4 linked regions of the Diceros bicornis minor genome follow. The protein of the gene in region 4 purifies or fractionates together with the protein of the main gene of each other region. This does not show direct contact. Links are inferred from orthologs where the notes say so. Each region holds a gene or a part of one and is shown on either strand. Other genes may lie near its edges. The genes, in order: CCP110, CEP97, PNMA2 and CEP290.

Region 1 (7,557 bases), on a different chromosome or scaffold from region 4:
ATAAATAGTGTTCATCTTAAAACAATTAACTAATTAACAAAAAAAAGAAAGGGTAGAGAAATTCAATTCATGATGTGAAATATGCAAAGATGAAGATACAATATGATACTGTCCTAAACCTCAAAGTACTTACAAATTCAGTACACTAAGGTGTCAGGGACAAATTATAGTGCAATTAGAAATGAAGAAAAAGCATTTTCAAAATTATGATTAGATTATGAAAAAATAAGATGTATTGCTAATTTTGACCAACAGCTAGTTTTATTAATAACAAAACTTCTTCCTACCATCTCATCCATTCTAATTATTTCTATATTAAATTTACTCCAAGTGAGAGTTTAATTTCAAAGAAATGGTTCTCTAGAGTATGAGATTATTCTGCAAACCAATATTGATAAAACAAACAAAAGTAAAAAACAAACATAACACCTTACTGCACGATAACCATAGCAAGGCCCCATTTGTCAGTCTGGATTTCAACCCACATTATATCTTAACAACCAAAATACGCAGAAGCTAAGATGTAAGAGAAATTCAAATGACCCCATTTCTGCTAAAATACTTCAAAATATTTTTTACCACAGCCCATGCATCCAGCATTACAGAGAACATAAATAGCTGACTCATACAATTAATGTAATATTCTTCGTATGGATACACAAGCAAACATGAAATTCTATTTTAAAGGTCTGAGAAATTTAAGGAAATAAAATATCTTTATGGCAATAGTTCTATTTTTCTTTCAGCAACATCATGAAGATATATGCCTCATGCTTTAGAAAGTTAAATTCATATCCCTTTAACAGTACATGTATGTCAGACGTATTGCAGATCCACAGTAAGAGATTATTATTACAGCATAATTTATAGCATATGATAATGCATTCACCACCCAAATACAAGCGCCAATAAGGTGATTACGGAAATTACCAAATGATCCCAGAGCGTGACTGGATCCTTCTTATATTTCAGTCTCAGCTTGGATGTCGCCTCCTCGGAGAGGGTGTCGCCGACGAGCCCATCTAAATTAACCCTGTGACAGTCACTATCACATTGCCCTGCTGTTTTCCAATTTTCATAGCACTTACCACTATCTGAAATTATCTTATTTCCTTGGTTTTCGCCTGTCTTCCTCCACCAAAACGTAAGCTCCATAAGCACAGGTACTTTCTCAGTCTTGCTCACCACTGAAGCCCCATCACACAGAACACTGTCAGCACACAGTCGGCATTTGATAAAAGCGCTGAATAAATGAATTAGGGTAATTAGCTCAAACAATAACGAAAACCGGGAGAAAAAAGAGAGTGGACTACATAGCAAAGAAGCTAGCAAGGAAGAAGGGAATTGAGAGAATGGAGTTTCATGGATGACCCTATTCTCAGAGAAGCCGGTACCTCTAAACTGCAAAGGCAACCGTTTAAAAAGTGAGCGTCCGTATCCTATATTAAGGCACTTCGTCTCTCACACCACAATTACCTCTGTCAGCAGGGTTTTATTTTAAGGGAGCCCCGACTACAAGGCCACGCCAAGCACAAATCTACTGCCCCATACTTTACCACCAGGCATTACTGGTCCACTTGAATTAATAATTTGTCAGCTGCATCAAGTTCAGACATGTCTCATTTCTCCATTTATACCATGACTTCTCCAAATGAGCCTCTTTGCAAACCCCGCAAACTCATGGTCCTGCTACCTGCTCCTCAGCAGTGCTCTCCCAGAGATGTCACTGAAGGGAATGGTAAAAGTAGCACAGAACAGATCTGGCCTTGTTTTCAGATCCTAGCTGGTTGTTTACCCATCAGTCTTCCCAAAGACATAAACGTCTTATAGAGGTAATAAAGGGGAAAGTTTCTTATTCAGGCCCACACTAGCTGTATGTTCTTGGCAATTCACTTACCATCTCTATGCAGTCTATACGGTCTCCTTATCTGTAAAATAGGAATAATCTGAGTATCTGTCTCAAAGAGATTCTATGAGGATTCGATGAATTAATACACGCGTGGCAATTACTATATTGCAGGACATGCAGAGAGCATCAATAAATGGGGCCGCTTTGGTTATGAAGAGGAGGAGGAGGATTTTTATCACTAGATTATGAACTCCTGGAGGGCAGCGACAGTGCTTGGTTCCTGGCAAAATTCAAATATAACTTAAAAACACGGAAAGGGGGTCAACGGCTTCCTCCCTTCGCTGTTTCCAGACCGCTCCCCATTAAATCAATCTCTAGGCGCCTGCCATTTGCCTAAACTGGGGATAGGGAACTGGAATGACAACCAGACAGAAGCAAAGGGTGGGAACCACCTAGCAGCATCAGGGGCAATCAAGAGAACTTGCTTTATTATCCTCATGTTTATGCCCCAGAGAGGCGCAGAGGCAGAGTAAACAGCGCTCCTGGGGCCTCTGGTTGTGGTCACCGGCCTTCAGAAATGTCCAGTGCTCACCCCGGGGACGCCTCCCTCGCCAGCATCGTAGAAGAAAAACGCCCCACACTGTTTGAGCAACAGGAGGTGGTCCCCGGCTCTGGCCCGAGTTTATTTACAGGGGATCCTCTGCCCCAGCGCCCCACGCCCACCTCCCCCAGCTCCTCTGGAAGGCTCCATCCCGAGGGCCCACCAGGCGGTGTCAGCATCCGAGCATCACCTCCGCGCCCGGGCACCCACCTTTCGACACCCGGCGCCCTTCCAGGGTCTCGAAGCCCGGGGGCCCAGCACCCGCGCTCGGGCTGTCCAGAGCCCGCCCTCAGCTCTCAGGGCGCCAATGCCGCCTTGCCCGTGGCCTCGGAGCCGGGACCGGCTGAGGATCGAGCCCGCTCCTCACGCACACACCTGATCTCCCACGGCCCGGGCAGGTTTTCTCCCCTCGCCCCGGGCCTTGTGAGGAAGCCAACGGCTCAATCGGTACAGACAGAGAGCAGCTCGGTCCGCCGCCGCCTTCTCCTCCTCCTCCCCGCCATATTACGGGTCTCAGGCGGCAACGCGGGCTCCTGGCAACCGCCGCCGCCGCTGCTCGGACTCCACCTCTCCCCACCGCCACTTCCGGCGGTTGCTTCCCGGGCTGTTGGAACCGTTGGGCCTCCAGAAAACTACAATCCCCGAGGTGCATTGCGCGCCTGGGTACGCGCCCTGGCCCAGTGATGAAGGGAGTAGTACTTACGGGCAGCGCGGTGCACGCTGGGAAACGTAGTCTTCACTACGAGCTGAGGCCTCTGCAGGTAAAATTTATTATATGGGAACGCCCCAGGTCTGAAGCCGCCTGAAATGTTCCTTGAAGTTGCTATTTTTCACTTATCCGTACAGATATAACCTCATTCTGTGTGGTCGTTGGAAAAGATACAACATTCACCGAAATTTTTTCTCTGTAAATAAAATATTGCTGAATCCTAGAATGCCAACTCAAAGCCTTAAGACATCCCTGACCCTTTCGCAAATCAGTGGGAAAAACGTCCAAGAAAGGTAACAGATTCAAGATGGCCCAAAAAGCCCCGAATGTTTTACCAGAGTTCTCTATCTAAACAACATGTTACCAGCTTTCCAAAATACAATGCAGCAGCCGCTTTCATTTGCTAACTCGGCTTTACCGTTTGCCTCTTTTACTGACCCTGCTTCCCGTGCCTATACTTGCATATATAAAATGAAAGTTTTAAAAGTGCCTATCACAAGGGTGGCTGTGAGGAACAACTGAGATATTCTTGCACAGTGCCTGGTGCATAAGCCCTACTATTAGCCCATAGTAGAAGGACAAGTAAGGTTACGAGGATGAGTAGCAGTGCAAAAAAAAGTCACCTGGCCTAAAACTGGAGTGGCTTGAGTCAGTCCTGACGCTGCCATTAACTGCTCAACTCTCTTCACCTCTCCTGGCCTCAGTTTCCTCATCTATAAAACGAGGGAATCATTAAAATCCCTTCCAGCTTTATAATCCGATTGTACCTGCTTTGCTATGCTCTTTCGTTCCCTCAGAATCTGAAAAATCCTTCTAAAGTCGACTGAATTCATTCACTCCTGAGATAAGACCTACCCACTGAGGCTGTTGTGAGAATAAACGAGATAACGCATAAAATATTCGCTAGCACAGAACCTGGAATACGGTAAGTGCTCTATAAATGTTGGCGTGCTCCCTAACACTATTATTTTCCCCCACGAGAGCAGGGACCGTGCAGGTCCTGTTCACTGCCGTGTCCAAGCACCTGGACTGGTGTTTGGCACATCTTGAATTGAATACATAAATAGTCTGAGCGTTGTGCTCCTTCAAGGCTCCCCGGGCAGTTTCCTCGAAGGCGGAATGAAGGGGTCACTAAGGTCCCTCCAAGTCCTGCAACCGTACAATGGGTCTTGCATCCCTCCCCTTCTCGAGTCTGAAAGCCCTGGTTGAAGGCCCCACCCCGGAATAATCCAAAACCACTTTGGAACGCGAGCCTGGGGCCGGGGCCCGCCTGCGTTGCCATGGCAGCGGCTCCGCCCCCGAGAGCTGGCGCTCCCCGGCCCTGATTGGCTGGACGGCCGGCTCCTTCTCCCGCTGCGGCCGCCGCCGCCATTGTGCGGCGCTCGGCCCCTCGGAGGGTGTCAGCTGCGGCCGGTGCCTTGAGCTCTCGCTCCCGCTTCTGGTTCTCCTGTCCGGGGAGCCCGGCGGGCCCGGGACTCCCGTCCGTGCCGGTGCGGGCGCCGGCATGTGGCTGTGGGAGGAGCAGGGGGGCCTCCTGGGCCCCTTCTCCTTCCTGCTGCTGCTGCTGCTGCTGGTGACGCGCAGCCCCTTCAATGCCTGCCTCCTGACCGGCAGCCTCTACCTCCTGCTGCGCCTCTTCAGCTTCGACCCGGTGCCCTCCCGCAGGGCCCTGCAGGTGCTCAAGCCGCGGAACCGCGTCTCCGCCATCGCCCACCGCGGCGGCGGCCACGACGCCCCCGAGAACACGCTGGCGGCCATTCGGCAGGTGAGCCCCCCACGCCTCGCGCCCCTCCGGGGAGCTGGACTTCTGCTTGTCCTTCCGCAGATTCCCCAGGCTTCGCGTGATAGCCTTCCCGGTTCCCCATTCGTCCTCAAGAAATACGTTCCTGTGGCTCTCGATCCCTCTGAAGTCTGGAAAATCTCCCGACTTCGAGTATTTATAGAACATAGCAAATACTCACATACTTACATATTTGCTATGTGCCAAGCACTGCGCAAGCGAAAGTGCAATGAAGAAATAGAGTAATGGAATGAGGGATGACTGGGGAAAGCAGTTAATGCTATTTCCAGATAGTCAGCGAAATCCTCAGAAGAAGTGACTTTTGAACTGAAACCAAGATTGCGAGAAGGAGCCGGCTGTGGATCTGGGGGAAAAGTGTTCCAGAAAAAGGGAGCAGCAAGTGCAAAGGTCCTGAGGTGGGAATGATGTTGGAATGTTCAGATAACAGAATAAGCATATGTGGCTTGACTTCAAGGAACAGAGCAAAGGCTAGTGAATGAGGTAGGAAATGTGGCCAGGTTAAGTAGAGTCTTGGTCAGTGGTTGAGTTTATTCTAAGTGGATCACATTCACAAGAGCTGTCTTTGCTTGTCCTCCAAACTAGCCAGGTCATCTCCTTATCACCTTCCCCCCAGACACACACATTCATCCTCAGACAATCCTGGCATTGGGACTCTAATCAGTTTCTGCCTCCCCTTGTCACAAGGCTCTCCTGGCAGTCTCCTGACATGAAAATGACCGTTCGCATAGTAAGAGAGCTTTTCAGTTGCCTAGCCACTTTTGCATCTGTAGAAATATATCTGATCCTCTCATTTCTTTGAGACATTTTAACATTGAATGAGTAGGAAAGCTGCTCAAACCACAGCTCTTTCTAGAATTCAACCTTCTGATTCCAAGCCTCAATGCTCTTTGTCATAGATTAGAATATGTCCTGGGATGTAAAAACTTGGACTGACTGTCATGTGTCCTGCTAGGGACAGACAGTGTTGTGTAATGAGCAAGTTACTTAAGCTGTCAGTGTCCCAGTCAAGAGTCATGACTAGGGTGTGGGAAGCGCGGCACCCTAGGGCACTTCTCACTCTAGTCCCAGCCGTGACCTCAGTTTCCCCATCCGTAAAATGGGAATAATATTGATATCCGCCTAATAGGTTGTGATTCAATGAGGTAGTCCACATAAAGTGTGTGGCCCATGATAAGACCTCCACAAATGTAAGCTCTTTAGGCCAAGAATCTAAAGATGGCTTGATTGTTTAAAATCGTTTAGGTAAAATTTAAGTGTTAAGGGAAAAATTTAAGTCTGAAGAAAGAAGGGAGTCAGGAAGGCAGCTTTAATTGAGCAGAGGGCACCTGACCGTTTATAAACCCAGTTAAACTTCTCTTATGCTTTTTCCCTTTGGTTCTTTGTGATGGAAGGGAGACAGAGCAGCTCTTCTAGCCTTCTGTTTAAAAATAAATCTAAAGATATTGAAGAGTGTATTTTACCTTCTAAACCTAAACCCAGAGAGGTTGCATGAAGTAACACAGCTAGCTACACAGGAGATAGAACTGTCATGCAAAGAAAGATGATAATTACCATAGGAAAAAAAGCACATAATTGTCGTTGGCTTCCATTTCTACTTACCTTGTGTAAATTGCCTTAAAGTATAACTCATTGTTAATTGAGCACAGAAGGTATTCATAAGTATTTACCGATGGGTATGGTAGTTTGGCTAGGAATATGTTTGAGTGAATATAAGTCATGTTAAACGAGGAAGTATGTATGTGAAATACACATACACATAGAGTGTTTCATATCCCCTCGTGTTGCAAGAGAATTATAGCTAAATTCCATTCATGCCTTGTATGCTTAGGTTGAGCATGTCTTTAATGTGTGTAATAATCATAAATAAACATCGTGCCAAGTTGATTACTGGTCTTAAGAGGAAATGAGATGTGGTAATTCACCTTGTTCGAATATCGGGTCATTATCAGTGAACTTTTTAGCTGTAATAGAATTTAGATTCTGAATACAGACTGCAGAAGACAAGGTCGCATCCTCCCGCTTGACTTCAAATTTGTAGTTTATTTCCATCAAAGTTTGTTTTTTGTCCTATTCTTCCTCCCTTTACATGTTTACAGCTCATAATTTATATCCTTAAACATTTGAAAAAAAAAAAAAGTTTTACTCCGTGAAAACTCAGGGAAGACGTTCTGACAGTGGTAGAATTTCTGATAGATTATAAAATAGATATATAAGGAAACACTTGAAAGAGGTAAGGTGTGTTCCCCCCAAAAATACTATTGTAAGACATTTCTCTAAATAAATAAAAAGATGAGTATGAAGTGTATACTAACATGTGAATTAGAATCAGGTTCATCTTTTTGCCTCTATAACTGGTAAAGAAAGTTGAATGCAGTCATAGAAGATCTGGTCTAAGAAATTAATATGGTGGTTGTTTTATAGAGCTTTTGTTTGGGGCCTTAATAAACTACACAGAAAAGACAAATAAATGAACTCATTAGTTCTAGTTCACTTGCTAAAATAGTCTCACCATTGTTACTTTTTGTGTTGTAGCCAAATAAGGATGGCCCTAATGAATAAAAGTATAATTGAACCTAATTATAGTGCCCCATCAAGGA
Region 2 (7,753 bases), on a different chromosome or scaffold from region 4:
ATAATACTTCATAATTTTAAAGAAAGCTTCATAATTTTTAATGCTGAATAATTTTTAAACCTAGTTATTTTCTAACCTAGTTACTAGACATTTCTTTCAAGCCCTCCCTGAAGTCAATGCCTGAGAGTCTTGGGATTAACTAGCCTGCTGGAAACTACAGTGGTAGATTCTAAAAAGGCAGGATCCCTCCCATACTTGAGAAGAAAATGCTACTGGAAGAAAACACTAAGAATGGTGCTTAAGTCATTCCAAAGGCATTCACATTTACACATTCCAGTCCTCATCTTACTTGAACTTTACACGGATTTTAGCACTGTCAAAACTCTTCCAAAAATTTCTGTGAAATGACTGTCATGGGTGTCTTTCATTTGACCTCATCTGCTCAGCCTCTTTCAGTCAATTCTCTCTTCCTCCATTCCCCTATCCCTTAAATATTGGTATTTCCTGATTCTTTTTTGCTGGCTCACTCTAGTCACTCTAGGGGTAGTAAAGAGAGATGCACTATCCAGATCCCTCTTCAAGCAAGGGATGCTGCCCAACAATGGCCATAGTGATCAGCAGCATGCTCCAGCTATAAGTAGGGTCTGGCTCAGAACCATCTCACTTAGGTCGTGACCTCTCTGGGACAACTCATATCTGGTGCGTAAGCAAGGTGGGAGCATAAGAGGGTTGATCATTTGGCCCAACACGGGATACTCTGACAGGCAATAATCGTTCCAGAGCTCCTGCAGGGTTGACTAAGGTTTAGTCGGGCCAGTGATGGATTTAACTTCTTCTGCCTAATACTGCTTTCTCCCTCTTCCTTTCACAGGACTTGATCCCTAGTAAGTATCTTGCACCCTAAATTCAGTCTCAGTAAGCGCTTCCAGAGAAGCAAACCTGTGACACTAGGTGTCGTTATCCCACATATTCTACCATCACCTATAGGTTCATCACTCCTAAAATATATCCCATTCCAAACACTCCTTTGAACTTGTTTAACTTCCCACTCCACACCTCCAGCTTAATGTTCTATGGGTATCTTGAACTCAGTCTTTCCAAAACTGACCCTCTCCCCCACAAACATGCTCCTTCCTCTTATCTGTCCTCTTTTGACAAATGATACATACAACCCTTCACTAAGTCCCCACTTTCAAAATTTCCTCACCTCCTGTATTATCTATTGCTATGTTAACAAACTATCCCCAAAATATAGTAGTCTAAAACAACAAACATTTATGCTCTCATAGTTTCTATGGGTTAGGAATTCAAGAGGGTTTACCTGGGTAGGAACTGGAAAAGCAAGGAACATGTTTCGCCCCAGAGCCTCTGGTGGGAGCCTGGAGACCTTGATTTCAGCCCGGTGATTCTGATTTCAGACTTCTGGCCTCCAGAACTGAAATGGAATACATGTCCAATGTTTTACGCTACCAAGTTTGTGGTAATTTGTTACAACAGCCACAGGAAACTAATACAGCAGGTGAGTATGCATAAAAGGTGAAGAATGCTCTGTTCTCAGGAGGTATATGGAGGCTGAGAAGAGTACCAACTTTGGTTCTGCATTGCTCCATAAATAAATAAAAGAAAATGGAATGCAGCCCAGCCTTGTCTCTATAAAAGAGAATGTAATGATAAAGTCAGCAAAAATTTATGGACAGTGTTGGAAACTGTGCTTTACGACACTATATAAAATGCTTTTGGGGGTTTCTGTATAATTTCTTATTCTAAAAGGGGTTGAGCACAATTTAAGGCATGATACACGCAGTGTGTTACAAAGAACCCTGAAATGCCACCTCAAGAATGCCCTCCAGGAAAGAGGAAAAGAGCTGAAATCTCTGGGACCTAGTTTCCCGCTTTCCCTCCACAGAGCTAGGCAGGCCAAACATAATTTTGAAGACCAATAAAACAAAATCTTTCTAAAAGGCTTGGGAAGGGACTATAAATTCTGGGGTTCTATGGAGCAAGCAGGACCAAATTTCTGCAGGTAAATCTTGGCTCCACCCTCTCCTCACATCCAGCTGTGCATGGGAGCCTGTACAAGACAGGACTATTCCAGAAAGATTTTGTTTTTTTAGTGATCAAACATTTGTTTAATCAGCCATTATTTGAAAGAGTTGGATGAATGTCCGAGTTGATGCCAGGAAATCCACTGCCCAAATTCAGACAATGTCTTCCAGTACACCAGCTCAACAGCTGGTCAGAGTTGGTCAGGCTGTCAAATTCCTCCTCTTTGCTTTGCTTTTCAATTCCATGCAAGTCGCTGTTAACTCATTCTTGAGACTGGTTTCAGCATAACTGTACAGCTTTCTTAACATTAATCAGTCACCTCGTTGGACGTTCCAGGTCTCTTCAACCAGCTGCCGTGGAACCCTTTTAGGGTGAGATGCTTATATGGACAGCATAAATCAATCATTACAGTTCTGTTTCCTAGTCCAGTACTCCAGCCTCCCACACATTTCAAGGGTTGCCTCTTGCCACCCCCATCATCTGCTGAAGTACCTAGCATCACAGAAGGGCTCAAGAGATTGAGGCCTTGCCCTCCCGGGGGGCCTGGACGGAGCTCCCTTTTCCAGGCCTCCGGGGGAGCTCTGCGCTTCGCGCAGCCACTGGCCCCTGGGCTCCGACAGGAGGCAGCCCGCCTCTTCCCCGGCCGGCAGTCGTGCCTCGGGGCTTACTTAGTAGCGATTCCGTAAACTGAACGAAGAAATGTAGTAAGTGCTGTAGCGTAACTCCCAGTAGAGAGAGCACCCAATGAATGTTAATTACCATCACTGCAAAGCGCCACCATGCACAATTCGATTCGCACGGCCTGGGAGACAATTCAGGTCTCACTGCCTTTTTTTGCAAATCGTAAAACTATTAAAATTTAATTTTGCTGGTTGAGAAAATGGGCCAACACAGAAGGCAAAATGTGACTTTAAGTTCCACCCGCGGGGTACCGGTCTGTGGGTCACTAACCGAGAGGAGGGCGAGTTCACGATCCCTGCAGCGGGACCACGGCTCTAGGACGTTTGGCCGCAGGAGAGAGAACGCCTCAGACACCCGCCGGCGCGGCCTGTGTGACCGTCACCCCGGAGCCTCCGCCGTCTTCGGCGAGCTCCTCCCGAGGCAGGCGGCCGCGGGGAAGACCTCGCGCGTCGCCGGCGAGAGTGACGTCATCGTCGAGCGCCGGGGCCAGCGAAGGGCATTGGGGGAGGAGATTGCCCCCACGACGTTATAAGGTCCCTTCCCATGATCCTCTCTTTCTCTTCGCCATTTTTCCTTCTTCCCGGCGGCTGCAGCCATGAAGTAAGGGGGAGTCCTGGATCCTATCCGCCTCCATCTTCGGGCAGCGCGCCTCTTCGGCGTCCCGGGCATGGCCTCTCCTTGCCGTGGCCACCCTCCCTAATGGGCTTTCGCTTTTCGTTCCAGGGTCGAGCTGTGCAGCTTCAGCGGCTACAAGATCTACCCCGGACACGGGCGGCGCTACGCCAGGACGGACGGGAAGGTGAGAGGCCGCGTCGGCTCCACGCCGCGCGTAATGCTGAGGGGGGAGAGCGGGCCACTTCGTCTAGGCGGGTCCATTTCTCTCGTCGCTCTTGTCTCTGGAAGCCTTGCTTCGGGGCCCCTGCGTGCAGTGGTCGTGAGGACCGGAAGCCTTTAAGTGAACCATTCTTGAGCCTTGATGTGGTGTGAGTCAGGTCCGCATTGCGGAGTGTAACTTCAGTGGCCCGGGATAAGGGAGGTGGGCCACCGAGGTGTCTGGCCACTTAACGGGCCCAGGTCCTGCTGGAATCCCGGGAGAGACGGAAGCTAGACGCCTCCCAGGATTTGCCGCCGCGCCCCCCCGCCCGCGGTACGGGCTGAGGTCAGCCTGCCTGCTCGCGAGAGACGACGGGACCAAACGCGGAGACCTTCGTGGTGCCGCTCAGTCACCTGCCACTTGGTGACACAAACCCTTCGGTCCCGGTGGCCTGAATTTCGTAAAAAGAGACGATAGCGCTAGAATACTAATTCGCTAAGGATTTCAAGTTCAGTCTCTCGTGCTTTGTATAGTTGAGTAACTACTTTGAACTTGTCACGACAGGTTTTCCAGTTTCTTAATGCAAAATGCGAGTCGGCATTCCTTTCCAAGAGGAATCCTCGGCAGATAAACTGGACTGTCCTCTACAGAAGGAAGCACAAAAAGGGGCAGTCGGTAAGTGAAGTGCACTTTGCCGTTGAGGGGCTATCCCTTAAGTTGTTTAACTTCTGAGCATCAGTTGCTGCTCCGTAAAATTGTGATTAAATGAGACAGTACGTGAAGGTGCTCTTAGGCCGTAGAGCATTGAACACGAAGTGAAAATGATTGATCCAGGGTTTCCTTATGCATCTTAGGGCCACAGTAAAGAGAGTTGAGATTTGGAAGCATCCCCTTGCTGGAGTCAGACATTACATTAAGCACCGTTGGGTTATAGAGCACCATGGAAGTGTTCAAGGTGTTACAGGGGGTGGAAACTAAGTAGTTATTTATGGTTTTGATCATAATGTTTATAGGATTAGTCCTAACAGATATCAGTGGAGTCTTCCAGCATACCACTTCGTTCTCAAGAAGACTGGATGTGTTTTTTGAAGTGCTCTTTTAGCTTGGTGAAGGAGATTTTTGAAGAAAGATTTGAGTGCCATGACACTCAAGTATTCAGGAAACTTGGAATGTTTAGTGAGCACCTCCTGGGCGAAAGACATTACTAGATATTGTTAGAGTTCAGAAAAAGGAGAAATTTATTTCTAATTTAATTAAAAAGTGGACTTGACACACCCATTAGGATGGCCATTAAGTGGGGGAAATGACAAGTATTGGTGAAGATATGGAGAAATTAGAACCCTTGTGCATTGCTGCATGTAAGATGGTGCAGGCACAGAGGAAAATGGCTTGGCGTCTCAAAAAGTTAAACAGAATTATCATCATATGATCCAGCAATTCCACTTCTTGGTATACATCCAAGAGAATTATAAGCAGGGACTCACAGATAACTTGTACACTGATGTTCATAGCACTATTATTCACAGTAGCCAAGAGGTGAGAACAACCCAAACGTCCCATCAGTGGATGGCTAACAAAATGCGGTATATACATACAGTGGAACATTATCCAGCCTTAGAAAGCTGACAGCCAGCCAGCATGGATGAACTCTGAAGACATTATGCTAAGTGAAATAAGCCAGATAGAAAAGGACATATTGTGTGATTTCATTTTTGTGAAGTACCTAGAGTAGGCAAGTTCCTAAAGACAAAGTAGAGGTTACTAGGGGCTGGGGGGAGGGAGGAATGGGAAGCTAATATTTAATAGGTGCAGAGAGTTTGGGATGATGAAAAAGTTCTGGAGGTGGATAATGGTGGTGGTTGCACAACATTGTGAATGTACTTAATGCCACTGAGTTATACATTTAAAAATGCTTTAAAATGGTCAACTTATGTATATTTTACCACAATAAGAAAAATACTTTAAAAATGGATTTAAGATAAGAAAAACTAACAGGTAAATATTGGCATTTCCTACAATAAGATTTCATCTTGGTAAAAAATTTAAAACAAGCATTTTAATCACAAATGTCCTGTTTTATCCATATATTGTTAAAAAATTTTTAAGATATTTGGCATATCCCTGCCTTAATAAACAGTTCTTCAAGTATATTTTAATTTTTCTTGGACTTAGAGGTGCACTGCAGGATCTTGTTTATTGTTAAGCACTGTGGTATAGATTTCCAATATAGAATCTGCAGCAAATGTTTGAATTGTTCTCTGTCTTGATTCCCGGACATTCTCTAACACTTGGTGGCTTTCCTGTCATAAATCATTTTCTAACTTGACTAATTCTCCCAGTGACAGTACTTTGAATAAAAACAAATTATGTGAGTTGAGGTTTGATAATTTTTTTCCAAAAGTAAATTCTTTAACGTAAACAGTCTTATTAAAATCTCTTTTCAAGTACTGTCCAGTTAACTTCCTTAAACTTTTTGTGTTTTTAAAATAGTAAAAAATGGCCAGAATTTGTAATAGATGATTTAACCAGTCCATAATTGGAAAACTTATCTGCGTATTGTGGTATTTTACATATGGATATATCTTTATATAGTTATTTCATTTCAAATAATTGCATGAATTATTTCTGGTTGAATATTATTATGGTCTGAATGTCCCCCCCCCCCCCAATTAATATGTTAAAACTTAACCCCCAAGGTGATGGTATTGGGAGGTGTGGGACTTTTGGGAGGTGATGAAGTCAGAGGAACGAGCCCTCAGGAATGGGGTTAATGCCCTGATAAAAAGAAGCCACAGAGAGAGCTCTCTTGCAAACTTTGGACATGTGATGATACAGCTACGATGGGAAGAGGGTCCTCACCTGACCATGCTGGTATCTTGACTTCCAGCCTCCAGAACTGAGAAATAAATTTCTGTTTACAAGCTGTTCAGCCTGGTATTTTGTTATAGCAGCCTAACAGAGTAAGACAAATGTGGATCTTAAAAGACTCATTTCCCCTGCCTTAAAGACTTAATTCCTCCCCCAAATTCATGAAGCAGTGTTCATAAGTGTGCTTCCCATCTATTTGTTTTGTAGGAAGAAATTCAAAAGAAAAGAACCCGCCGTGCAGTCAAATTCCAGAGGGCCATCACTGGTGCATCTCTTGCTGATATAATGGCCAAGAGGAATCAGAAACCTGAAGTTAGGAAGGCTCAACGAGAACAAGCTATCAGGTGAGGAAGCCTTCATTATGAGCATTTCAGCTCTTGGGGTGGATTTTAGATTATGTTTGGGTTTATAGACACAGAAATCCAATCTGATGTTATTTTGTGGTTTTGGTACTTAGATCTATATAGGGATTGTCAGTCATAAATATTTAGGTCTAATAATACAGAAGTTTATAATACAGTCTAAACTAAATGATTTGTTAAAATTCTATATGCAGTTAAAGCTATTATACAATTTTTAATGTATGTTAAGCTGACTCAGGGGTCAATGCCATTTATTGACAAACCCTTTGGCTTTATCCTATAAATTATTGGAGATGGGGAAGGAATATGATAATTTTACTTTCCCAAAACACTCTAGCTCTTTTTTAATAGGTTGTACCCTTAAGGAGTAAAGTGCTTTGTCTTAAGTTATTTTTAACCCCCCAGGGCTGCCAAGGAAGCAAAAAAGGCTAAACAAGCATCTAAAAAGACAGCAATGGCTGCTGCTAAGGTAATTGTGGGCTTGTCTTGGATTTCTTATTTAAAACAAAAGGAAAATTTATTTTTAATCCCAATTATAGTAAATGAAAGTTTCAAGTTTTTAAAGAATTTAGTGCAAATGGAAATAATGTTCATAACTGGTTTCTGGGTAAGTGATTCAGATCTCCAGAGAGCTCCCTCTACCAGAGTCAAATGAGGCTGTTAGTGTTAGAAATTGGGAAAGGGGAAAGTAAAAGTGGCTTTTGTTTTTTAAAGTTTATTTTGAGATAATTTTAGATTTACAGAAAGCTTTTCAGTAACAGTGCAGAGTTTACCCAGCTTTTCTCAATGTTATCAATTGAGATAACCATAGTAAAATTTTCAAAACCAGAAAATTAACATTGGTCCTATACAACTAATAAAATCGATGTCCTTTTTCTGTTCTTAGGATACAATTCAGGATCCTACGTTGCATTTAGTTGTGTCTCCTTAACTCCTCCAATCTGTGACAATATCTTTGTCTTTCATTTATATTTTATATAAAGGTGGACTTGTAATTTTTAGGGGGTTCTTAAGAATAATAGGAATGTAGTTAAATAATCAG
Region 3 (7,123 bases), on a different chromosome or scaffold from region 4:
GAAGGGCAAAGGGGAAGAGAGTGATTTCAGAACTCATTGCTTTCGGAGGAAAGAGGATCTAGAAGGGGCATCAGCATCAGGATGGCATAGGAGTGGCACTGAACAGTAGGAGGGCAGCAGAGTCACTGGGCATCCAGGGCTGGGAGATTATCAACATGGGGAGAGGAGACGGGGACGCAGAATGGAAGGGAATGTCAGAAAGCATTTTACAGACCCAGTGATTCTGTCAAGTTCAGCAGACTGGTGTATAGCTCACTCACTGGCACCTGCCCTGGAGAAGTGGAGAATCACTCCTCTGCCACTCAAGTCCATGGAGGCTTTTGCTGCTGGGAGAAGGGCCTAGGAGCCCCTTGGGAAGGGATGCTCATGCTCCAGTATCCCTGGCTAAACAGCTGGTTCTGGCTAAACTGTGTCTGAGGTGGAATGCAGGGAATTCCTAAGAGGAAAGGAGGAGGCTAAGGGAGCCCTGGGCACTGGCAAGAGAGAATTTGGCCAACAATATTGCCCTTCTGCCCTCTATTCCAAGAGGCTCAGAGTCTTTCACAGGTCATAATCAATTTAACCTCATTGCAGCCCAAGGTAGACTTCCCCAAGGACACAAAGGAAAAGAGAGTAATGAGATAGAAGCTTTCCTCATTCACAATCACACCACTGCCTGTTTCCTTTCACCAAAACCTGACATCCCAGCCAAAGCCACGCCCATTGCTTTCTGGTGCTGACCTGCTCACAACAGAAGCATATTTCACTTAGTTCCTGCAAATGCAGACACTCAACCTCTCCTCACCTCCCACAAGTCATGCAGCACCTGGGCTAAGGAAGTCTGTTCCCTCCTTTCTCAAAGCCTTGCTAGAGGAACAGCAGGTGCCCTAGTGCGACAGGTGGGCAAAGCCACTTCTGACAACACATTAACAAGACCTATAAAGACAGATTCGGGGGAGGAGGGAGGGCATGAGACAGGGGCCCTGGGATCCACTCACTCTAGTTCTCCCCACCTCTCTCTGTGCCAGGGCTTCTGACAGGAACGCACTGAGATGCTGCCAGTCACCCCGCTCATTAGCTGAAAACTAAGTAACGGCTACTCAATTCAGTCAAAATGGTGGGCCCAGCTGTGCTTTTGGAAATCACCATTGATACACACACACACACCTCAAATGCCTTTTCTCTCTCATATAGACATGAAATATTCAAACACTGTGAGCACTGATCCTGGTAAATGTTCTTAGTCATGAATGAAAAAAATCCCATAGGAACAGCCGTTACGTGTTAAGGCAAAATTGAAAATGAAAATCCAGGACTGCAGAAAGACCAAGCCAGGATTACTCTCTGTTACTGATAAGCTGGCAACTGAAGCAAATGTAGGTTTGCGGAGGCTAATTCGGCCCAGGGTTTTGGTTGGGTATTTCCTCTTCAAATCTCCCCCTCCATGCTCCCTAGGTTTACAATTTAGAATTTCTAATAAATCTGGGGCGTGTTCAAACAAGCAGCATCTAAGCTTCTAAATGGACAGGAAAAGAGAGGTGTTATTTAACCCAGTGAAATTTTGCCTTTCAAATTTGAGTTTTAATTCACTGCCATCATTACAGGGGTGGCCGCTCTCAACTTCTGCCCCCTGACCTGCCATTTTTTTAAATGATCTCTTCCTTATCTCAAGGCATTTTTCTCCTCCCTTGAGGACATCTGAATTACCAGCACAACTTATTGAAGATGAGGTTATGTTATTAGAAACTTTTACTTAAATTGTCTGATCACTTGGAACAAAGCGAGGTTTTTAGACTTCGGTTCTTCTGGCTGCTTCATAGTGACACATGCACATCAGATACCCTCCTATATGAATAAACCAGAGGACAGGGCTCGGGGAGGAGGAATCAATTAAGTGATGTGTTGTCCCACCTTTTGAAAATGACAGCAAATGTCTTATCTTTCCTAGCATTGGTCCTTTAAGAGTCAAAAGCTCCAAAACTCTATGCCATATCAGGAAACAGTAACATGCTCAGGCCATTATCAGCAACTCATAATTGTTCTCACTGTAAGCACACAACCTGAATGCCAAATAAATGCTGTGGAATCACTCGGTGAATATGTATAGACCACTCCCAACTAGTCTGGAAGCCTCTTAAGAAGAAAGCACCTTGAACTTTTAATAGCTAACCATCCCCCTGCCCCACAAGGGAAGGCACACAATAGGTCTCCAATAAATAATCAATCATTGACTGATTTCTCATCTTCTCCAATGGGCATGGGAGAGAAACAGCAAACAAGTGTTAAAACATTCCACACTGTAACTGATCAGTAGAGAAAATAAGGCTGTGAAAAAAATTGCACAAGTATGAAGGTCACCCTGATAAAAAAAAACGTGGTGCAAGAAGACTACTGCACTTAAAATGCACACTATACATATTTGCGAGAGATGACAACACTTTCTAAAATCAAGGTTTACCAAATCGGTCTTCTTTGTTCCCCCATTGACACAGTGTAGGGATCTAATCCATCTCTGACAATCTATTCAAAATGTGAGGGGTTTTCCCCTTTTCTTTTCTTTTTACCCTTTGAACATAATCCACTCAGTCCCCATCCCCAACGTGCTTCCCCAGCAGCGGCGGGGGGACCGCTCTGGGAAGCCCTTGCTAGGGTACTCAGCGAACTTTGTTCTCCACATGGCTATTGAGGAGCGTCTCGGTTTCCTCGCGTGACTCCACCGCCTCCCTCGTTCTTCTCACACTGCGAACAGGAGTCAAGGGTGGTGCGATTCTGCGAGGCGGTCCGGGGAGGCGCTGGCCATGGTGCTGGCCTCTGAGCTCGGGACGCGAGCGCGGAGGGCGCGGGAGGAGGTGCGGTGGGTGAACGCGCAGGGCGCGGTGGGGAGCGGCCATCGAAGCCCCCGCCCCTCCCGACCCCCGGGGAGCCCGCGGGCCTGCACGCGAACTCTCCGCCGCTCGCTCCGAGCTGCATCAAAAAAGGGTGGGGCATCCAGCCACAGCTGCAATCGGAAGCCGCCCGGCCGGATTTAAGAATGGACGGCGGCCCATCCCCCCCGACCATGCGACCCCCTAGCCGGGGATCGGCCCATCCTTTACCCCCACGCGCTACTGCCCAGGCCCGGGGAGGCGCCGGCAGCCTTTGTGGGCGCACAGCCGCCCACCGCCGAGCCCGAGCCTCTCCGCACCCTGCACGGAGAAGGGGCGGGTAGGGTGGGGTGCGTGTGCAGATGCGGGGAGGCAATGTTCGAGGAGGGGCAGGACGGTGGGCACGCTGAGATCCTCGTTCTTCACCGAGCTGGAAGGAGGCGAGGGAGGGGCGACCCCCGCGCCCGGTCCTCCGTTTCAAACACCCCTCCCCCCATACCAACCTGGTCGTTGATGTTCTGCAGGGCTTCCTTGCCCGAGGCCCGCCGGATCTCCACCTTCCGGCTCGATTCAACAGATGGCTCCCCGCCGGCGCGCCGGCCCTGCCGGGAGTACGGAGGCTGCGGGTCCGGGCCCAGGTGGGCGACGTCCCGCTGCTGAGCCACCACCTGCCCCGAGCCCCGGCCCACCGACAGCGAGTCGAAGTCGATGGTCTTGTTCTCCGAGGACCCTTCCACGGGGCAGAACATGCCACAGAATTTCTGCCGGGGCTTGGGGCTGCCTGAGCCCAGGTTTTTAAAAAAGGCAGGGACCTCTTCGTCCTCCGCCGCCTTCCCGGATTGCTTCCTCTCGGCCATGGCGCGGGGGCTCGAGGAGGGTCCTCTCTGTCGGTCCGTCCGTCTGCTGGTCCCTAAGTCTGCCTCTCCCTGTGCACAAACCCCCTGGCTGCTGCCGCGGCTACCGCTCTGCGCCTACCGCAAGGTGTACAGAAAGGAAGGAGGGCTGGCGAACGGGCGGCCCACCGCTCCCGGTCCCTCCCCCTGACCCCGCTTTCTCCCCTCCCTGCCCACGCCTCCCCCCGCCGCGCGAGCTCCGGCGAGCGGCAAAGTTGGGTCTGGGCGGGTGGCCGCTGCGGCAGCGGGAGCGGAGAGGCTGCCAGTTCCCGGCAGCGGCGGGAGGAGGGAGGCGCGGGCGGGGCGGGGGCGGGGCGCGGCGCCGGGAGAGGAGCCGAGCGCAGCGGAGGGAGGGAGCGCCGCGCCGCTGGGAGCCCCGCGCTCCGGAAGTGAAGTGGCCAGACCACCGGCTAATGGATGCGGAGCGGAGGGCCCGCCGACCGCTCCCGGCTCCACCGTAAGTATGGAGCAGGGCACGCGGCGGCGAAGACCTGAGGGCGCAGCCCCTGGCTCCCGCGCCCCTCTTCCCCGCCTGCCCGGCCCAGGCGTCTCTCCCCACCACATTGCGGAGATGGGCCAAGGGCTGTGGCCCACCGTGGGGAGGGTTTCATCACCCAGGATGTGAGCTGATGGATGGGGAAAGAGGGACAAACTGACAGGCGTCAGGATACCCGGGGGGAGGGGAAGGGGCGGCACTGAGGATGGGGAAGGGATGGCGCAGGCGGCGCAGAAAGGTAGGGGCCATACGAGGCGCTGGACACCAAAGCCTTAGTTTACACACGGCCCTTGGTGGGCTGCTGGGAGCAGAGATTGAAACGAGAAGGTTCTCACTTTGTGCATCCACGGTGGTGGGAGAGGCACAGCATGGCGGGGAGAAATGCAGAGGGGCGTAGCAAACGGTGGGGAGCGGATAGAGAGAGACATAGGTCTACGGTCCGTGAGAGTGTAGCAGAGTCCAGTCCAGCACGGCAACTTATGTATTGCCCCAGGCGCCATGCACCAGTAACTGCGCCACTGCGCCAAGTAGAGCACAGGAGAAGGTCTTCATTTGGTATCTCCCGCCCCCGCCCAAAGTGGGGGAAAGCCGCAGATTAAAGCCCACTCCCCAAATCTCCAGTCCTTCTCCGGCGCCCCGGGCGCCCCGCCTCGTCCCCACCCCGCCCTGCTGCGCACTGCGCCAGAGCCGCGGGGTTTCCCAGGTGGCCAGACGCCGCGTGCCTGAGGCGTAAGTGCGTGCGCGTCCAGTGGCGGGTAGGAGATGGGGTGCTGGCTGTGATTGAGTGTCTTGGATTGTGTGAGGCCAACCTGGGGAAAGGTGTGTGGGGACTTGGTGTGTATGTACGGATAGACTAGCCACAGCCACAGGGCATCCAGGGGGGTATTTTGATTTGTGCCAGTAACACGGTCTCTGAGGGTCCTTCACGGCTTACTCCCGTCCCCACGTCCTTTCCGTGTATCAGTCTCTACCTCTGGTCGATTACAGCCCCGCCCCTCTTTCCACAGTGTCAAAATCCTGCAAAAATGATGCCCATCCTTTGGCGGCTCGAGAGAGAGGTCTGGGCATGCTCAGTAACCAGGGTGGGTTTGGGCTAAGAGGCTGTTTACCGCAGGACCGTAGCGAGGGGCAGTGTGACCAAGTATTCGGTCCCGTTGTCAGCCCTTGCCCCTAGAAGCATTAAATGCGGATACCCACCCCCTAGTTGTGAGGGATAGTTTGGTGAATGGAGTTAAATTTAGAGGACCACCACTCACAGTTTGGTGAGGAGCCCACCATGCTAGGTGGGCAGGAGTCCCCGGATGAGAAGGGGAGAAGGGGGAAGGAGAGGAATGTGCGTGTGGAGGGGCTGAGAGAACCAGGGGCAGGCTTTCGGACTTAGCACCAGATGTGCTTAGCATTTGAATAAAGTGCTTCTACGTGAATTACATCATTTCCTCCTCAAAGCAGCCCAGGGAGAAGAGTGCTTTCCTTCCAGGGCAGGAAGCTGAGGTGTAGAGCTATTGAGGAGCTTTGCCCAAGGTCACTATCTAGTTAAATGGCGCAACAATTACAGTGAAGTCTTCCACCTGAAAGTCTGGTTTCTTTTCCAACTTATCCTGTCTTTATGTGAGAAAATACAAGATTTTCACATTTTTTCCATATCCAAATATTTCCATACGGGTCATCCCGTATCTAAGAAGAGGAAAGTGAGGTACGGAAGAGTCATCGAGCTCAGATCCCTGGGCCTGCTGGGGAGGGCGTGACCCACCATTTTGCCCTCTGGCCCTCTGGCATGCGCCGCCTTCAGCACCTTCCGGGAAGACTCGGGAAATGTGCCTGCAGCAGGAGCAGCTGCCGCCATAACTGCAGGTTGGCATCTGTGGCATATGGACCCCATTAGGACTGATGGAGATTTTCAGGCCTGGGGAAGAACGGTGGTGGTTCCTAACACACACTCCACACCAGTAACTGGGACACGTTAGGAGCTCTTCCCTTTTCACAATACCCAGTCTCCACCCCCTCGCCACAGATGTGCTTCCTCTCTTTTCCTTTTTCCTCAAATGACCCGTTCAAGTTCAAATGCTATGAAGAAAGTGTCGTGTTAATAACTTACCATTCATAGCAAAAGAAACATCTTAATTTTGCTTTTGCAAAGCCTGACCAGACATAGCAAAAGAGAATTAATTCATAATTCTGAGTTTATTTGGCCCTGAGGTTTTTTAAATTGTTATACTTCTATTAGGTTGTAATACCTATATTATTATGTCATATTAAAGTATATTTTATAAATTATATTATTATGCCTATATTAAATTGTTTTTAAATATTTGAATGATTTCTAAAAGAAATGAAGCAACTCAATTTAGTAGATTTAATTAAGTTTTGAAGGATTGCCATATTTTTGAATAAGTGCATTAACAGTCTTCATCACTGGATATTATCAAGCCATAAAAATACACTATTATTTATGTATAACAGGGCAACTTGGCTTGGCTGGAGCTAAGATCCAGACACGCTGTTGTGTGGACTTGGGTGACATCTTCCTGTGCTAGAAGCTGAATAAGCTCCTTGACTCTCATGGAACATTCTGGAACGCATAAACAGGTATCTCACCACATTTCCTGATTTCATTATTCATGTGGGAAAAATCTTGAGTCCTGTCCACAACTGGGGCTCAGATATTAATCAGCACTTCTGATGAGCGTGCGGTGGGGAAGCTAGGTTGCAGGAGGGTCCCCAAGAGAAAAAAAAAATGTCACTGTAGGCAAAGAAGAGATCTGACAGAGTGGGATAGACACAAGTACAATGTCTCCCCGGGTCTCCCTCCACCTCCATCCCTAACTGGAGTACAGATGCTCCCTGGGAAGGAGAGGGCTGGTAAAACTGACCGTTCTCTCATTAGGAGTCCA
Region 4 (7,120 bases):
ACAATACATTTATATTTTGGCTCTTAGCTTTCTCAAAAGCTGCTACTTCTCCCATACCCTTCTGTCACCATTCCTCAAATTCCCACATGCCTCATTCTACCTCAGTTACTAGTAATCCTTCTGTGTATCTCTCTAGACTGTAAGCTCCATGAGGTTATTGAATGTTTTCATTTTGTTCACAATTGGATGCTCAATCCTTAGTAGAATTTAAGGTACATAACAGACAGGTAAAATATATACTGAACAAACAAATAATTATGAACACAGTATCATTCTTGTGATTATTCCAATAATAATAATAGAAAAATTTGAAAATAATAATTCAAAATAATAAAATGAACAACTACACCCTAGGGAATACAAAAGGACATACCTCTAGTTCATTTTCCAGTTTCATTACTTTAGTTTTTAATTGATTTTCTATTAAAAAAAGACAAATGTTTCAATTGGTCAATTTATCTCAAGACAAACTTCTAAATAAATTTCAATAAAATAATAAAATAAATTCTTTTTAAAGATTCCATCATGATTGTAATAATAAGGTAATAGAAGAGAAAATAACTATCTTATACCTGATCTATGGAATAGGAGTTCTAGAATATCTTTCAAAATAAATTGAGTCTACACATTTTATAGAATGTATTAAAGCTAATTCTCTGTTGCTTAGAGAACAAATGGAATCCACTATTTAGCATCATAATTAACTTTCCATAGCACTTACCAAATTTTGCTTGCTCTTCTCCAGCTTTTTCAACCTCTTCCAAAGCCAGCTCTACTTCTTGAGCTTTCATCTAAACATTAAAAACACAAAATTTATTTCAATACGCCTTTACACTAGAATGTAAGCACCCAAAACAGGATTTTATTTGCTATCCCAAAACTTAGCGCTCAGAATGCCGGGCATACACAGACATTCAGTAAATAGCTGTTGAATGAATAGATGATTTTCTTACTTAAGGCTATAATTTTTAGATTCCTAACAGTTTGAAACATCTTTGATTCTTCTTTTTCCCTCAAGTCTTATATCCAGTATTGCCACTTTGCTCTTTGTAATGTTTTCCACTATCCCTTTTTTTCTATTCTACTTGTGATTCTTCTAGTCCATAATTTTTTGTCTAACCTCCTTTATAACATTATGGCTAAACAGCTTTAATTTCCTTCAATTTGTCCTATTTAGCCTAGTTTACCCTCCATAGTTTAGTTTACCATACCTAGTTTAGCCTTCCCAAGGCATATTTTTGTACCTATCAAGCGTGGCTCAAAAACTTGTAATGGCTCCTCATTGCTGACAGCGTAAAATACACCTGCAAGGCCTTTGACAGCCTCCGTAGAGGCAACATTTGTTTCCTCTACAGCCTGCCACAAAGTGTCTGCACTTGTCTCCTCAAATGGAAAGAATACACATTTTCTATTTCCAGTTTTTATTTATGGTAACCTCCAGCTCTAGAATCTCCTTAATATTTTACCACTGCTTTCCACTTACCTAAAACTACTCATCAGTCTTTAACCTTCATGAGGTCTTCTCACATCTAAATCTCTTCCCCTCCTAATAAATCCCTATAATAATCGTCTGCATTTTTCACTTCTACCTCAGGATTATGTTAACTTAATTAACATAGGACCTCCCTATGTTATTTTTAAACATATCCATCTGTTTCCCTCACATATTCTTTTAGGAACTTTAGAGCAGAAACTAGCCATGTTTTGCACACTAAAATTCTCAATCCACATTTGAAAATACCTCATTTTTTAGTGGTGATTTAGATATTACAAAGTACTTTTATAGAAATTAACTTACTTAAGTTACTTAAGTAAGTAACAGATTCTTAAACCTTCTCTAATAGTCAAAGCTGTTATTAAAACCTACTGCATACAAACCTTCATTAGTGACTGAGTAATTCTGAAAAGGTGTATCACATTTTCTTGACTTTCTTTTTTTAGCTCATTTACTTCCACCTAAGTAAACAGAAAAACAACTATTATATATTTATAACACTTAAGCAAAATATAAGAACTCTTCCAATTGTACCACTCAGTGATTAAAGGGACAACTTGGATGAATCATAGTTGTATGTATATATTTACATATTATTTATCAATTAAGCACCTTGGATAAGGAAATCAATAAATTATCTGCCAATTCTTCTTGACGAGGCAGGTCATCTGGATCAACTTTTATTATTTCTTTCCAGTTTATATTAGGTGGCATCTTGAATTCTTTCACTGTGCTTTACCTGCGGTAACAAGGTAGGTGGGTATTAGCATTTTCAAGGTAAACAGCATTAATGTTTTCACAGCAATTTACAGTTTTTACACATTACATTGTTCTAACTCTCTATGGTGTCAGCAAAGAGCTATGCCTCCTTAATTGTATAACAGATAAGCGGGTAAAATAACCTTGATCACAAGTATAGCAGTTGGCACAAACCATCAGATATTGTATCGGCTAAACAAACTACGACGGCTTCTTTGTTAAAACTAATCTTGGTCAGAACTAAGATTCTGAGTCCCCTCCTTCATGCCCCCTTACCACCAAGGCACGCGAACATCTAATGGTGCCAACCGCGGAGGTGCTCGGCAGGCTGAAACCGACCCCTGATTCGGAGAAGCAGGAACTGGGCGTAAAAAAGTGAGGAAATAAACGATTGAAATGAGTGCAATTGGGCCGGGGAAACCAGGGCTGAAGCGAGGAGAAGGCAGATGGATTGCTGACCAAAAAGGCTAAGAGGCGGGGAAGCGGGGCTTTGCTGCAGATGGGCCCTGAAGCTTAAAGAACCCGCGTAAGAAGACAGCCGCTGCTCATGCTCACTAGGATCCAGGCACCTAAGCCAAACCTGGCAACCAGAGGCGGCCCTTCATCTACCGCACCCACCAAGCACGGCCCCGCCGCCACGCCTGACCGCTCCCCAGCGCAGTGCCAACCGGACACTGGCTCCCGCCAACTGGTCCTGAGCGAGGAATAGCGGCGGCGGCTGCTAGGCGACACCATTCCCCACCCAGCCAAGGCTGGAACAAGGCCCCGGATGCCAGGGAGCCTACATTTCACGACTATGGGTGATGCTTTACGTTTAGATTCCCCAGCGGGTTTCCCGGACTCTGTGAAAAGGACAAGGAGAAGTCTTGGGGATGAGGACTCCAAATCCCAGAGTGCAGTTCTGCTTGGAGGCTTGTGCATCCTGGGAACTGAAGTCAATGAGAAGTGGAGGTAGGCCGTTCCCGGCGTGCAATGCGAGAGGCTGCGACCGTACCGGGGCGGCGGGGGAACCAGCCGGCGGCGGGAGGCGCGGTGGCGGAGGCGCGGTGGCTGAGGCGCGTCTGCTGTGAACGAGGTAGACCATGAGTGTGCCTGCGGTGGCGTCGTTCTCTGGACCGCTCTTCTTGAGGTTTCCCTGAGCCGTCCTCTCGTGGAGCCGCTCCCAGGTGAGGTCGAGCTGTCGGTCAGCGGCGGGGGAGGAGTTGAGGGGAGCGGTCCTGATTTGGAGACGCTCCCGCCATCGGGGCGGAAGGGCCTGGCCCGAGAATGGAGAGGTGGGAAGACCCCGCCTTCTGCTTAGGCCTTTGCAAGCGACGCCCCGGGGGGTGTCCTCTGTAAGAAGACAGAAAAGTTTTACCCCTCTTTGGTATCAGAACCTGTCTGTGTACAGTGGAGTGGGGGCCGCGCGGCCGAGATCATAGTTTGGGGGCGAGTGAGGAATTGAGAGGAGGGCAGTGCATCCTCCGACCCCGCCCGCCTTGCCTGTAGCGCCATCACCGTCGCGGGTGGAAGGACTTGAAGGTTGAGGAGCTGTGTGTCTAGAGTGAAGGCTCTAGAGAGGAGAGGTTAGAACTTGTCGGGGCCACTGCTGGGGGTGGAGAGAGAAGGGGCTTCAGTACCCACCAGTCCTGCAGCTGTCACTTGCTTGGTTACCGAGGGTGCTCTTCTATGAAAGCGCCTTCTCAGGTGTTTACAGCTCTTATTTGTGCAAGTTTTGCTTATCCCACTGCTCTCATTCTGGAGTATGATACGCCGCTAGGTAACTTAAGCTATAGACTTGAAATCTAAATGACATTTTCAACTGTTTGGACCAGTGCCTCTCATCTTTATCTTTTTTTTTTTTTTTTTACTATAATTGATAATAAATTTTCCTTTTGAAAATAAATACTAGATTTCTTTCCAAACCACATGTTTGGGTAACAGCTCAGTAGGAATACCTCAATAGAAAATAAAAACAGGTACTGATGTTGTGAGATATATTTAGACATTCATCAGATTTGTAGGAATGATAATTTTGTCTAATCATTACTGAAAGATAATATGCCCAGTACTATTCATTATCGTTTTTTTTAACCATGGTGTAATTATATCCCCAGAACTTAATCATATGATTGGAAGTTCGTACCGTTTTTTTTTTTATTCTTTTTGGTGAGGAAGATTGGTCCTGAGCTAACATCTGTTGCCATTGTTCCTCTTTTTGCTTGAGGAAGATTGTCCCTGAGCAAACATCTGTGACAATCTTTCTCTATTTTGTATGTGGAACGCCGCCACAACATGGCTTGATGAGTGGTGTGTAGGTCCAAACCCAGGAACCCTGGGCTGCCGAAGTGGAGTGTGAGAACTTAATCACTATGCGACTGGGCTGGCCTATGGAAGTTTGTGCCTTTTGACCAATAAGTTCTTTGTTTCTGTGAGCTTGGTTTTTTTAGATTACACATATAAGTGAGATCATACAGTATTTTCTTTCTCTGTTGACTTATTTCACTTAGCGTAATGCCCTCAAGGTCCATCCATGTTGTGGAAAATGGCAAGATTTCCTTTTTTATGACTAGCATTCCATTGTGTATATATACCACATTTTCTTGATTTGTTTGTCCTCTGGTGGACACTTGGGTTGTTTCCATGGCTTGGCTAGTGTAAATAATGCTGCAATAAATATGAAGGTGCAGATATCTCTTCCGGATAGTGATTTTGTTTCCTTGGCTGTATACACGGAAGTGGAGTTGCTGGATAATATGGTAGTTCTGTTTTTAATTTTTTGAGAAACCTCTGTACTATTTTCCATAGTTGGTCTACCAACTTACATTCCCACCAGCAGTGCACAAGGGTTCCCTTTTCTCCACATCCTTGCCAAGACCTGTCATCTCTTGTCTTTTTGAAGACAGCCATTCTAACAGGTGTGAGGTGACATCTCATTGTAGTTTTCGTTTGCATTTTCCTGATGATTAGTTGCTCATGATGTTGAGCACCTTTTCATGTACCTGTTGGCCTGTATGTCTTTGGAAGAAGTTCCTCTACCGACTTTTTAATAAGATTGTTTTTTTTGCTATTAAGCTGTATGAGTTCTTTATATATTTGGGATATTAATCCCTTAACAAGTATATTTTTGCAAATGTTTTTTCCCATTCCATAAGTTGTCTTTTCCTTTTGTTGGATTTCTTTTGCTGTGCAGAAACTTTTTAGTTTGGTGTAGTCAAGACTGATGTCAAGGAGCTTACTGCCTATGTTTTCTTCTAGGAGTTTTATGGTTTCAGGTTTTACATTCAAGTCTTTAATCCATTTTGAGTTGATTTTTGTGAGTAGTGTAAGATAGGGTCCAATTTCATTCTTTTGCAGATGGCTCTTCAGTTTTCCCAACATCATTTATTAAAAAGACTATCCTTTCCCTGTTGTATATTCTTGGTTCCTTTGTTTGTTTCTAGGCTCTCTCTTCTGTTCCATTGTTCTATGTGTTTGTTTTTATGCCAGTACTATACTATTTTGATTACTACAGCTTTGTCATTGTTTCATTTGCTCTTCATAACAATACAATGAAATAGGTGCTAATAATGTCCTCATTTTCCAGTGAAGTTAACAAACTGAGGCTTGGAGAGTTTAAATACTCTCCTCAAGCTTAAAGAGTGTGTTTGAACACGGATCTTTCTGGCTAGAGGCCATGTTCTTAACTGCTATACTGCCGCCTCAGGCATGCAGGGCACCTGCATGCCTGTAAAGTGCTTGTTCTTCGGTCTTGCTATGTATATTAAATATTATCATATTCTACGGTAAAGTTGCAGGATACAAAATCAACATACAAAAATCAGTTGCATTTCTATACACTAACAACGAAGTAGCAGAAAGAGAAATTAAGAATACAGTCCTATTTACAATTGCAACAAAATGAATAAAATACCTGGGAATAAATTTAACCAAAGAGATGGAAGATCTGTACACCAAAAATTATAAAACATTGCTGAAAGAAATTGAAAAAGACACAAATGGAAAGATATTCCGTGCTCTCGGATTGGAAGAATTAACGTAGTTAAGATGTCCATACTTCCTAAAGCAATCTATAGATTCAACGCAATCCCTATCAAAGTTCCAACAACATTTTTCACAGAAATAGAACAAAGAATCCTAAAATTTATATGGAACAACAAAAGACCCTGAATAGCTAAAGGAATCCTGAGAAAAAAGAACAAAGCTGGAGGTATCACACTCCCTGATTTCAAGATATACTACAAAGCTATAGTAACCGAAACAGCATGGTACTGGCACAAAAACAGACACACAGATCAATGGAATAGAATTGAAAGCCCAGAAATAAACCCACACATCTATGGACAGCTAATCTTTGACAAAGGAGCCAAGAACATACAATGGAGAAAAAAAAGTCTCTTCAACAAATGGTGTTGGGAAAACTGGATAGCCACATGCAAAAAAATGAAAGTAGACCGTTACCTTACACCATACACAAAAATTAACTCAAAATGGATTAAAGACTTAAATGTAAGACCTGAAACTATGAAACTTCTAGAAGAAAACATAGGCAGTACGCTCTTGGACATTGGTCTTAGCAACATATTTTCAAGCACCATGTCTGACTGGGCAAGAGAAACTATAGAAAAAATAAATAAATGGGACTACATCAAACTAGAAAGCTTCTGCACAGCAAAAGAAACCATCAACTAAACGAAAAGACAACCTAACAATTGGGAGAAGATACTTGCAAACCATACATCAGATAAGGGGTTAATCTCCAAAATATATAAAGAACTCATGCATCTCAACAACAAAAAAACTAACAACCCGATTAAAAAATGGGCAAAAGACCGGAACAGACATTTCTCCAAAGAAGATATACAGATGGCCAACAGACACACGAAA

Evidence for each region.
Region 1: the proteins of CEP290 (region 4) and CCP110 purify together in Homo sapiens (co-immunoprecipitation; 6 studies listed by BioGRID and IntAct, with this or other methods). This does not show direct contact. The link is inferred for Diceros bicornis minor from reciprocal best matches to the Homo sapiens genes CEP290 and CCP110.
Region 2: the proteins of CEP290 (region 4) and CEP97 purify together in Homo sapiens (co-immunoprecipitation; 4 studies listed by BioGRID and IntAct, with this or other methods). This does not show direct contact. The link is inferred for Diceros bicornis minor from reciprocal best matches to the Homo sapiens genes CEP290 and CEP97.
Region 3: the proteins of CEP290 (region 4) and PNMA2 purify together in Homo sapiens (co-immunoprecipitation; 3 studies listed by BioGRID and IntAct, with this or other methods). This does not show direct contact. The link is inferred for Diceros bicornis minor from reciprocal best matches to the Homo sapiens genes CEP290 and PNMA2.

What each region holds. Positions count from the first base shown.
Region 1 is NC_080765.1:32,861,375-32,868,931, forward strand, and holds the start of CCP110 (centriolar coiled-coil protein of 110 kDa), read right to left. Parts: upstream 3,008-7,557; 5' UTR 2,826-3,007; intron 1,929-2,825; 5' UTR 1,898-1,928; intron 1,244-1,897; 5' UTR 1,089-1,243; intron 1,079-1,088; exon of another isoform or gene 931-1,078; intron 1-930. Other genes in the region: GDE1 (glycerophosphodiester phosphodiesterase 1), read left to right, coding at 4,664-4,924.
Region 2 is NC_080754.1:6,188,912-6,196,664, reverse strand, and holds the start of CEP97 (centrosomal protein of 97 kDa), read right to left. Parts: upstream 3,021-7,753; 5' UTR 2,938-3,020; intron 1-2,937. Other genes in the region: RPL24 (large ribosomal subunit protein eL24), read left to right, coding at 3,263-3,267, 3,391-3,466, 4,046-4,156, 6,557-6,693, 7,117-7,180. UniProt on the Homo sapiens protein: Acts as a key negative regulator of ciliogenesis in collaboration with CCP110 by capping the mother centriole thereby preventing cilia formation. Required for recruitment of CCP110 to the centrosome.
Region 3 is NC_080750.1:67,421,731-67,428,853, forward strand, and holds the start of PNMA2 (paraneoplastic antigen Ma2), read left to right. Parts: upstream 1-4,111; 5' UTR 4,112-4,193; intron 4,194-6,027; exon of another isoform or gene 6,028-6,083; intron 6,084-6,692; 5' UTR 6,693-6,818; intron 6,819-7,116; 5' UTR 7,117-7,123. Other genes in the region: DPYSL2 (dihydropyrimidinase-related protein 2), read right to left, coding at 3,347-3,700.
Region 4 is NC_080764.1:32,999,008-33,006,127, reverse strand, and holds the start of CEP290 (centrosomal protein of 290 kDa), read right to left. Parts: upstream 3,005-7,120; 5' UTR 2,531-3,004; intron 2,235-2,530; 5' UTR 2,210-2,234; coding exon 2,108-2,209; intron 1,957-2,107; coding exon 1,879-1,956; intron 792-1,878; coding exon 722-791; intron 421-721; coding exon 374-420; intron 1-373. UniProt on the Homo sapiens protein: Involved in early and late steps in cilia formation. Its association with CCP110 is required for inhibition of primary cilia formation by CCP110.